3 linked regions of the Canis lupus familiaris genome follow. The protein of the gene in region 3 interacts with the protein of the main gene of each other region in a pairwise test. Links are inferred from orthologs where the notes say so. Each region holds a gene or a part of one and is shown on either strand. Other genes may lie near its edges.

Region 1 (3,749 bases), on a different chromosome or scaffold from region 3:
GTTTCTTTTCTTTTCTTTTCTTTTCTTTTCTTTTCTTTTCTTTTCTTTTCTTTTCTTTTCTTTTCTTTCTTTTCTTTTCTTTTCTTTTTTTTTTAAATCCCAGTTCCTCTGGAGGTAATGACACAATGACTTTTTATAAGAGGGTGAGGATGGGTTTGCTTTCTCTTTCAGATCTTGGGTGTTGGGCTACTTCAAGTCCCAAAGCGGGAAAGTAGAGGAGGCTTAAGATGGGACCTCAGGAGGAAGAGGAGGCCAGAGTGGGGGGGAGCAGGCTGAAGGCAGGGTAAGTGGAGGCAGCCAGTGCATGAACTCAGCAAAGGCGAAGAAGCAGCCCTCGGAGGCCACCCCCTGTAGGACAGCTGTACCCACAGGGCTGACTGCAGCACGACTAGCTGATGGTGCAATGGTGAGGGTGCAGAAAGAGGAGAAAGCCAGGAGAGGTTGAGAGATCCTGGGGAGAAGAGGGTAGGAGGAGATCCCTGCCATAGGTAGCCACAGAGTATCCTCCTGTGTGGGTTCCTCACCCACAGGAACCGTTTGGCAGCCCGGTTTTCTTCCCCTTCCTTCTGCTGCAGTTTGGAAAGTCGGCGGATCTTTCCGCTGGCAGTGTCAAGACCAAACTTGGTCCCTTTCACTATCCAATAAAAACTTCACCCCATAGCTTTCATCCAAGGAGATGAAAGTGGCTTCTATAGACACAGAGTCAGCAGGTTCCAAGAAGAGTAGAGCAAAGTTTATGCTTGTCAGGCAGCCAGCTTTCAGGGAAGAGGGGGCCCTTGGCTTCAAATGAAGGACTGCTGGGGCGGGTTCCCTTGCATAGCCCTTCAAACCCAGGCTTCTCTGGATGAGGGCAGCCCCAGAGAGGGCTAGCAGGTCAGGCCTCAACCGAACCTTGGCCCTTCAGCAAGCAGCTGCCATTTGCCCGGAGGCCATTACATGTCCCTGGGACACGCCACTCTCAGGCTCAGCAGCCCCTGCCAGCAGGGAACCCTCCAGCTGGAGGACTCCTTTCTTACATAGTTGGAGACCCTTAGAGTTTTATGACTCATCACAGGCCAGTTAGGGACAGTGGCACCATTCTGGGCTTCCCTGGGGCCCTGCTATCCACCTTGGGAGCTGTTGAGAGACCAAGCAGAGAGATGGGGGGGAGGGCGGGACTCCACTTCTATCTCCTGAGATTTATGAGGTTAATAGGAAGTGATGATGGGCACTGCTGACTTTCCTTCCACTTCAAAGCTCAAGAGGCATACGCAAGTCTGGAGAAAGTGAAACCTGGATATACTAAACCTTGCTTCTCGTCAGGACAGCTGTGGCCAGAAGACATGGGTGAGCAGTTTGAGGGTGGGTAGGATGGTGCCTTTTGGAGCATGGATGTCTGGAAAAGAGGGTGTTTTTAAGAGAAAGCTGACCCTGGCTATGGATAGGAGCAAATGGGCCCAACAGCCCTGGGCGCCTTTACAAGTACAGAAATCCAAGTACAGAGATGAGCGTTTAGAAGCAGGGACATGTGCACACATATGCTTACACAAGCATGCATGCTCATGCACACAGGAACATATGCACAAGCCCACACGGGATAAACATTCTGGCGGGCACATGCTCACAAAAATACACACAGATGTGCACAAGTCCAGACACACAGGAATACCCACACTGGCACATATTCATCCACAAACACACAACACACACACAAGGAGGCAACACACAGGTATATAGACTGTGCACATGCCAGACCCACAAAGTCACATAAGCCCAGACACCCACAGTAGAGATGTGTGCACAGCCACAGCACATATCTACATATGAACAGGCTCCTACACACACACACACACACATACACACACACACAAACCTTGTAATGCAAACACCAGCCTCCCAGGCCATTTGAGAGCGTCTTGGCCAGCTGCCCTTGGTAGTTCATTCTGGGCTGCAACCCAGGCCCTCCCTCTGCCCCACCCTACTCACCCATTGGTTGTATAAATTCCTTCCCTTTGCCCCTTCCCAGCAAAGCCTGCCTCGGACAACGGCATAGCTTCTGTCTCTGCTCACTCCTGGCAGCCCAGTAAGGATCAAAGCATACCAGGAAGCAGCATGGGTAAGGAGGGGGCTTTCTGCCAACCAAGTGTCACCCACCTCTGGCCCACAGTACAGGAAGTGACAGAAAAGCTGGGTGGGGGAAGCTGGTGGGGTGTGTAGTGGACTCTGCTCTACTGGGCCCACCCCACCTCTATATCTCCCAGTTCAGCCAAAGTTTCCGGCGCTACAAGGAGAGGAGGGCAGAGGGACGGCTGGAATTTGTGGCCCTGGACCCCCACCTGACTCCCTAGCTGGGGCCTGGAGCCAGGGGACCTTCCTGCAGCTGGGAAAATCTGGTCGGGGTCAGGGAATACATAGGGAGAACCTTTTGTCCCTGGCTGTCACCATAGGTGAAAGGCCATCCTGATTCTAGCCCTGGGCCAGCTTTTTACTCCAGGAAGTAGGAAACCCAAGCCTTTGGGGCCAGATCACTCACCCTCTAGCCACCCCAGGCACTCTGAAAGGGAAATTGGAGCCCATACACTCTCACTGGGGCCCTATTCACTGCCTCCCACTCTCCCAGAAGCCCCTCTATTCCCCATCTTCAGACTCCTGGATGTCGGCCTGAGGAGTTTGGGTCTGCTTGGGAGTATTGAGGTCCTTGTCCCCCTGGATCTGGGTTTTTCCTAGACTAGCAGAATGCCTAGCAGCCAGCTTGACACTGGAAAACCCAGCGAGCTTCCCCTGGGTTCATCTCAAACCCAAAGATTTTCAGAGATCTTGATTGAGATGCTTAAGACAAGCCAGGAGATGGGGGGGGTGCCCCCAGTAAGAACACTGATGCTCCTGGGGCCTGGAGGTTACATGGGGCCTGATTGACTCCACGAAGTGCTGGGGTGATGTGCAGAGGGGAAGATGCCACAGCCAGCAACACCTCCCTCACCTCTCCATCTCTGTCCAGCTTTGTGGGCCTTGTGTCTCTGTCTTGAGGTCTTGGGGTTTTGAATCTCCTTCTGCTTTGTGTCCAGCAAACTCCTTCCTCTCCCCCTTGCCTCCTATGCCAAGCCCCTGCACAGTCTTCTCAATTCCTTTGGGCTGGATTTCTCATCAACCGCATCCACCCCAGCTCTCTCTCTGGCCACCAACCACTGCCTGGGATTTTTGTCCCGCTTCTGGCACAATCTACCCATATTTATACCGCGTTTCTCCTTTACAAAAGTACTTCTGAATATATCAGCTTATTTGACTTTCCTAGCCACCTGGAAAAGAAGGTAAGATATTATTACCCCCTTTTAGCCAAAGAGGGGAGAAAGTCAAGAGAGCAGATACCAGATCTGGAGCTTGAAACCAATGAAAACGCTGTTGCCTCCTCCTGGCCTCCTGGCCATGTTGGCTGCCTTGAGAGGGGACCTGTTTCCTGGCTGAGGGCCTGAGCCCAGGCACCAGGGAAGGCTCCACTCCGACTGCTCCTGCCTCCCCACTGGGGGTCCCTGTGCTGTCAGGGCAGGGCCAGACTGGCTGTGGGCCAGCGCAGGGAGGCAGCACCCGTCCTGTGATCTCCACTCTGGGATTTCTGACAGCTCCTTCCTCCAGGTCAGATCCCAACCCTGAGGCCTGATGCCTGGTCCTGATCCCTCACCCTCCTTCTCCGCAGCTGACTTTGGGCCAGTTGGTTCTGTGGCTGCTCTTGCCAGGCTTGACCGATAAGTAGGGCCCCGCCTGCTGGCTCTGTG
Region 2 (3,649 bases), on a different chromosome or scaffold from region 3:
CATTCTGAGCTCTTGTGAGAGTTTAAAATCACTCTGGCTCCTGTCTGCTGTGCTCCTCGCTTTCCCATCTCTGAGCTTCTACTCCGCTATTCCCCCTAAATATCAACCCCTTCCTGGGTGTGCTCTTCTTTTCTGCCCCTCCTGGTACTACCCAGATCCTTGAGAACTACCTGGAGTTCTGCCTCCTTGAGAGTCCTTCTCAGACAAATCTGTCTTGTACTGATTCCTGTCTCCCCTGATTTTTTGGGCCATTCATTTGATGGTCGTGCATAGTCTTGGAGCATTTCTTGTTTTTATTCATTGAATTATTCATTTGATTGTTTATAGTTTTAAAATACATAAAATATAAAATTTATGATTGTAACCATGTGAAGTGTACAGCTCCATGGCATAAGTGCATTCACATTGTGCAGCTATCACCACCCTCCATCTCCAGAGCTCTTCATCTCCCCAGATTGAAGCTCTGTCCCCATTAACCACAAACTTCCCATCTTTCCTCCTCCTGGCCCCTGGCTCCCACCATCTGCGTTGTGTCTATATGTGACTATTCGAGGGGAAGCTCAGCTAAGTGGAACCAGGCAGTCTTTGTTCTTTTGTGACCGGCTTGTTTCACTTGGTCAATGTTCTCAGTGTTCATCCATGTTGTAAGAAGTGTCTTCCTCCATAAGACTGAGTAATACCTCACTGTGTGGATGGACCACATATTGTTTTTCTGTTCATCTGTTGATAGGCACTTGGGTTGCTTCTGTCTTTTGGCTGTTATGAGTGATGCTGCTAGGAACCTGGCATGTAGGCATCTTTTGGATATACACCCAGAAGTGGGATTGCAGAGTCATAGGGTAGTTCTAGTTTTAGTTTTTTTCGAGATCCGTGCACACTGCTTTCCCTGATAGCTGCACCGGTTTGCATCCCACCAGCAACATGTTGGGTTCCAGTTTTCCCCATGTCCTCGCCCAAGGCTTGTCATTTTCTGGCCTTTTTTTTTTTTTTTTTTTTAGTAGCCATCCTACTGGGAGTGAGGTTGTAGATCATTGTGATTTTGACTTGCATTCCCTAATGATGAGTGATGGAGGAACATCTCTTCCTGTGTTTACTGGCCATTTGTATGTTGTCTTTGGAGAAATGTTTGTTCAAGCCCTTCACTCGGTTTTTAATCAGGTTTGGGAATTTTTTGTTGTTGTTGAGTTATCCATTGAATTGTCTATAAAATCTCTCTCTATTGCTTACTGCCTATAAGTGTCTTGTCTTCTCAGTTCTAAATTCCCCGAGGGTGAGAAATTGTCCATAGTCCCTCTGTAGCTGCCCAGTCTCTGCACTTCCTTCCAAGTCCTGCTCAGGCACAGATATGTCTGTGCCATTTCTGCTTTGGGCATTCCCAGGGCTCTTGCCTGTGGCTGAGTGCTTCCCCTTGTGTAGATGGTGGTTCGTGCTGTCCTTTCCCAGCAGCCTCTCCTGAGTGCTGGTGCCCCCCCCACACACACATGCATTGGACTTCTCCCCGCCACAGTCTCCGTGACCCTACAGTGTAGCTGCCTCTGACCACTCTGGATCTGTTCCAGCATGGTCTAAGGCCAGGCTTTCGTGGGACAGAGATAGGTATCTCTGTCCCCAGCACCTGGCATAGTTGCTGCTCTGGACCTATTTTTTGAACACACTAACGAGTGACTATAGTGGTTCCTTGATCATAAGACAAACGATCATAAGAAAGTGTCCATTTCTTTGTTGTAGCCTTGCCGGATCAAAGGTGACATAGGACAGTCTACCGATGATGATTCTGTTCCTCTTGTCCATTGTGTCCGCCTCCTGTGTGCGTCATTTTTGCTGACTGGGGAGAAAAATGGTATGTATAGCAGAGCAAGTACAGAGCTGAGGGAAGTGCCTAGGTCTCAAGGTCAACTTGGTGACTGGTGCCTCATCACCGCAGCAGAGGGAGGGAGTAGAGTCTGGGGTGAGCGGTGGTCCTTTTCACTGATGGGAGAAGGAGGGAGTGATGAGGGAGCTGGGTTCCTGGGTCTTGTTTTGTTTATGTGGAAACTAGATGTCTGTCACTTTGAAGGTCACTTTGCTGCCTTCCTTGCAGTTTTGGTTCCAGACAGGGACGTGCGGGTCAGTGTGAAGGCACTGGCACTCAGCTGTGTTGGAGCTGCTGTGGCCCTTCATCCTGAATCTTTCTTCAGCAAACTTTATAAAGTACCTCTTGACACCATGGAATACCCTGGTATGTTACAAGTTCACAGTCTATTCCTCATGTTTAACCATTGCTTTGAAAACTATTTCAGATCATCTTGGCTATTTTAGTTTAGAGTAATATTTTTTGAGTTAATTTGTGGCATTTTTGAACTGTGTTGTAGCTGTATATAAAGCACATAAATCGTAATGTTTTTTGTTTTTTGGACTCCCTGTAGATGCAATGTTTAGTTTAAACACACATGATGAAACAATAGAAATGTGGGAACATAAGAGCCAGTTTACATACATACTGGATTTATACCAAAAGCACAAATTGTGTATAATCAAAATTGCTTTGGGTCACACTCAGCCAGGCCAGATGTTCACACTCAGAGACAAGTGCGACCCGAGACCAGCAGAGCACCAGCAGATCCAGGCTCCTGTAGCACACGTTCTGGGACATTCTCTCATGTTGGAGTAAATGGGGGAGGAACCCCACTTCTAAAATTACCCTCCCGAGTTCTCCCCCTTTCTTTGGGCGAGGGGACACACTTGTGCTTTTGAATTCATATTAGGTAAGTGTGGACTAGTTTGAGTTTCTCTAATCTTTTTTTTTTTTTTTTTAAGTGAAATCTTGGAATTTTGATTATTGGCTGGCAGCCTGGAATTATAATCCAGAACATCTATTGTGTTGAAGTGATGTCAAGGCTATGATGAATCTAGAATCTTTAAACCCCATGATATTTTTTTACCAAATCTATATTCTAGATTTGGAATCCTCCCTCACCTTTGTTTTTTTTTTTTTTCCTTTCCTGAGAATTAAACTTTTCTTCTGAGTTAGAAAATGGATGGTAGGGGCTTGTACAGTGGCTGGGCAATTTATCTCTACAGAGGAGCAGTATGTGTCAGACATCCTGAACTACATCGACCATGGAGACCCCCAAGTCAGAGGAGCCACAGCCGTTCTCTGCGGAACCCTCATCTCCTCTATCCTCAGCAGATCCCGCTTCCAGGTGGGAGATTGGATGGGCACCGTCAGGACCCTGACAGGTAATGGCAGAACTTGCAGTGTATTTCCTAGGTAGAACTCTGTAGTTCAAGTTTGCATAAAGGCGCTGTTTGCTCTTCTGGTTAGGAAGTACATTTTCTCTGGCGGACTGTGTTCCTTTGCTGCAGAAAACTTTGAAGGATGAATCTTCTGTTACTTGCAAGTTGGCTTGTACAGCTGTGAGGGTAAGTATAATCTTTTGTGAAAATCAATTCTTTGATTAGTGGAAATTTTACCTTTGTTACCATTAAAATTGGGTTTAATGCTAAATATTCGTAGACCTTCTAAAGCTGTGAACAACAGTAAACAGTTGGATGTGTCCACGACTCTGTTGCAGAAAGCATTACCAAGAAAGGTTTATTTAATAGAGTGTAGCATAAGTTTTAATACTCAGGGTATTTGTTTGAAATGCTCCTTTCCTAAAGGATCTTG
Region 3 (3,749 bases):
AGCTAATGGTGCAACTGTCCCTAAATGGAGAACAGGTGCTCACTGGACCCATGCAGAGTGTAGACGGCCAGCCCTGAACTAGACCTTGCCTGTGTCTCCAGGTCCAAATGGAGTCTCCAAGTCTACACATGCACACAACAGCTAATGAAAAAGCTTTTCTCCGGATTATTCAATGAATAAGTGGCTGTTCATAAAGGAGCAGTCAGGGTGTACAGGGTCCTGCAGGGAGAAGGATGTGGGTTTTGTGAATCAGTTGACACAAATCAAAAAAGTGACTTGGAAAAAAAATAAAAATACAAAAAATAAAAAGTGACTTGGATAAAGTACAAGTCTGAATCATTTTCCTATCAAACGTGTTTGTTTAAAAGAAAGACAAGAAAAAAAAAAAAAAAAAAAAAAAGAAAGACAAGAAGTTCAACTATTGCTTTCTGACTACCTAGTGAAGACAAAGAAGAGGGATGGGTTCAAGGTTGAAACAAGTGTGATGCTTGGCACAGAGGAGGCACAGCAGCTATAGACACACTGGTTTGGGTTTGTTTTTTGGACTTTTTGTTTAAAAATTAAAGGCGTGTGGCAACCCATCAGCAAGCAAGTCTATGGGTACCATTTTTCCAACTACATTTGCTCACTTTATGTCTGTCATTATTTGATAATTCTCACATTTCAAACTTTTCTTTATCATTGTATTTGTTAGGGTGATCTGTGATCAGACTCCATAAAACCTCAGATGACAGTGTTTTTTAACAATATTTTTAAATTAAGGTATGTACCTCTTTCTTGACTTAATGCTATAGTGTTAACAACCCTTATACGCACTAGAGAACCCAAAAACTTGGGTCACTTTATTGCAATATTCACCACATTGCAGTGGCCTGGAACCACATCAACAGTATCCAAGGAATGCCTATATTAAGAGTCAGGTAAGGTCACCTCCTCCAGAAAACCTTCCAAGTACCTGATGTTCTTTAATCTTCAGCCTCAGGTAATACCACTGCATCTACAGACTGTGGGTTCATTAGGGTCAGAAATTCAGTGAGATGGGGTGAGTGGTAGATAGATAAAGAGAGACCTGAGAAAAGAGAGAGGATTTTGTTTCACATGCAATGGGAAACCACTGGGAGGTTTTAAGCAAGAAAATACCACGTCATAATTTACATTTTTGAAAGATCAAGTTGGCTTCCCTGTGGAAAACTGTTTTGCTTGGTTTGGCTTGCGGGAGGGAGGACACAGAAGGAAGGTAAGAGCACAAGCAGGGAGAAGCAGGGGGGTGGACACCGCAATAATCCAAGCTGGAGAGGGGGTGGCTCTGTATTAAGGTGGAGGCAACTGAAAGAAGTGGAGAGATTCAAAATATACTTTTTTCCAATGGGAAATGAGAAAATCTGTCAAATATCAGTATTTTTAATGTAATAACTATACACATATTTAGGACTATAAAAATTAAACTTACTTTAGATACTTGGCATATTCTGGTTCTTTCCAGTAAAGCAAGTACTTAAGATAATTAACAAAAGCTTTGTCTTTGAAGTAACCTCTTTGGGCAAGAACTGAAAGGCATAAACAAACAAACAAAAAAATCTGTAGAGCAAACCAATCCTCGGACTACTGATTTGTGACCCCTCACATAAAGCATCTACTTATATAACTTCCCCACCACCAACACACACTAAATGCTGAACATAAGTCCCAATTTGTTCTCACACACACCAGTATAAGCGTAGCAGTTAATTCCACTGGATTGAGAACATATAAAAATAGGTATCATTAGGAACTGCAGTTCTTCTGCCAGAGATCACTAACAGCTACTCAAGTCAGTAAGAGCTCAAGGACTTACAGTTAAGATAATTGGGGTTGGCTAGGCACTGCACAAATTCCAGCTCCAACTGAAACCGAAGTCGATTCCCGGCATCATCTAGGAGGGAAGTGAGCAAAAATCATCCAAAGTAAAGGTGACTAAAAAATAAATAAAATAAATAAAAAACAAAATAAAGGTGACTATCTAAAGTGCTGGTTTGTAGAAAGAAAACAGCAGTGGAGTGTTCTGAGTATTGCTGAGAGTATCTCTGAAGGCATAAGGCAGGGATGACTGTCCTAAGCTGGATGTGGGAAGAGAGGGCCGTTTCCTCCCAAGTCTAGAGAGCAGGGCCCTGATTAATGAGACCAGTAACTCCTTAAGGAGAAGTCCGAGGAAGCGGGCGCCCCCTGGGCAGGATGTTCACCCTCTGGCAGCCACTCCCCAGGACCTCCAGGGTGACCAGTGGCGGAGGGCTGCAAGCTAAGCAAGAGGAGGGGGCGAGTGTGCTCCCGCTAGGGCCTGGCGGGGAGGGGGGACTGGTTCGGGGCGGCAGGATTTGGGAGGCCCGGGGGAGGGGGGTGTCAGAGCCCGGAGGCTGGGAGGGCCAGGACCTGGGATGGGTCGGGAGGCCGCGGGGTCGGGGCCCGGGAGGGGTTGAGGCTGAGGGGTGGTCGGCGTCTGCGCGGCAAGCGAGGAGGAGGTAGCCGCGGACAGGAGCCCCGCCGAAGTCACGCCACACAGGAGTCCCGGGGGAAGCTGGAGGAGGAGGCCAGCCGGCTGTAGCTGTGTTTGCCAGGGCTCCGGCCGCTACCTACCTGTCTCCATAGCGACGGCCGCGGCCATCGCCAGCAAAAGCGCCGAGACGTCACCAGCACGACGAGCAGCTTCCCGGAGGTCCCGGAAGCTGCGGCCCCACTTCCTGTCGCGGGGCAGTGTGGGATGCGGGGCGGGGCGGTCCTCTCGGGCCCCGCCCACCGGCCTCGCGCAGACTCGCAAGGGGCGAGGGGCGGAGCTGGGGCGCTCCGAGCGCGGGAGGGGTCCTGTCCCCGCCTCTCTGCTCGCCCAGTGACGTAGCCGCGGGGGTCCCGAGCGCCTCCGGGAGCGCCTACATCCCCTCGGTGGGGTCTCCCGCGGGGGCAGTCCTCAGCCGGGAGAACGCCCAGCGGCCGTTCCAACCCACAGGGACCCCCCCCTTGACCCGAGCGCAGGTGCGGCAGGTGCGGCAGGTGCGGCAGGTGCGGCAGGTGCGGCAGGTGCGGCAGGTGCGGCAGGTGCGGGGTCGGCACTGGGCCAGCCCCCTCCGCCGCGCGTCGGCCGGGTGGCCGCACCGTTGACCCCGGGAGCCCCCTTGCAGCAAGCCAGCACTGGAGGTCCGCAGGCCCGCGACGCTCCGCCAGCCTGATGGGCTGATGGATAGGGAGGCTGTTGTTCCAACCACCCTCACGATCCAGACTTCGGGGACAGGGAGCAAACCCAAACCGTGACCACTGGGAGGATCACACCGCGGCCGGAAACCGAGGGGCAAGAAACAGACCTCCATTAATTAACCAGTTGGCCTTTGTGTTTCAAACCAAGCAGGTATTTTGTTTATGCTAAGCCCTGTGCCCTGTACGGGCACCCCCAGTCACACACATTTCCATACAGGTCAGACTAGATAAAAGTCAACATCTACCATGAGGCGTGATCTCGGAAGGGAACCCGGCCCGGGTCTCGCAGAGGGCGGGGAGGGCAGTACTATTTATGGAGCCTCTCCTCTGTGGGCACTTGGACAAGGTAGGCAGGACCCAGGCTCTCAGGAGCTCACACTGGTGAAGGGGCACACGGCAAATGATGAAAAGACCATTTTCTATCGCAATGAGTAACTGAAGGAAACAGGTAATGGGAGGGGTTCCTCACTCAGAAGTGTCAGGGAAGGCCTTGGTTAGGGGACTTGGATCTGAGGCTTGTGTGGGTG

What was found.
Region 1: the proteins of MED31 (region 3) and SELENBP1 interact in a two-hybrid assay, tested with the Homo sapiens proteins (2 studies listed by BioGRID and IntAct). The link is inferred for Canis lupus familiaris from reciprocal best matches to the Homo sapiens genes MED31 and SELENBP1.
Region 2: the proteins of MED31 (region 3) and HTT interact in binary tests that used the Homo sapiens proteins (3 or more experiments, as listed by UniProt). The link is inferred for Canis lupus familiaris from reciprocal best matches to the Homo sapiens genes MED31 and HTT.

Annotation. Positions count from the first base shown.
Region 1 is NC_049238.1:61,075,869-61,079,617, reverse strand, and holds the start of SELENBP1 (methanethiol oxidase), read left to right. Parts: upstream 1-1,292; 5' UTR 1,293-1,322; coding exon 1,323-1,326; intron 1,327-2,005; coding exon 2,006-2,095; intron 2,096-3,749. UniProt on the Homo sapiens protein: Catalyzes the oxidation of methanethiol, an organosulfur compound known to be produced in substantial amounts by gut bacteria. Selenium-binding protein which may be involved in the sensing of reactive xenobiotics in the cytoplasm.
Region 2 is NC_049224.1:61,700,872-61,704,520, reverse strand, and holds part of HTT (huntingtin), read left to right. Parts: intron 1-1,728; coding exon 1,729-1,840; intron 1,841-2,080; coding exon 2,081-2,218; intron 2,219-3,060; coding exon 3,061-3,219; intron 3,220-3,304; coding exon 3,305-3,402; intron 3,403-3,649.
Region 3 is NC_049226.1:30,892,375-30,896,123, reverse strand, and holds the start of MED31 (mediator of RNA polymerase II transcription subunit 31), read right to left. Parts: upstream 2,767-3,749; 5' UTR 2,639-2,766; coding exon 2,611-2,638; intron 1,913-2,610; coding exon 1,835-1,912; intron 1,548-1,834; coding exon 1,451-1,547; intron 1-1,450. UniProt on the Homo sapiens protein: Component of the Mediator complex, a coactivator involved in the regulated transcription of nearly all RNA polymerase II-dependent genes.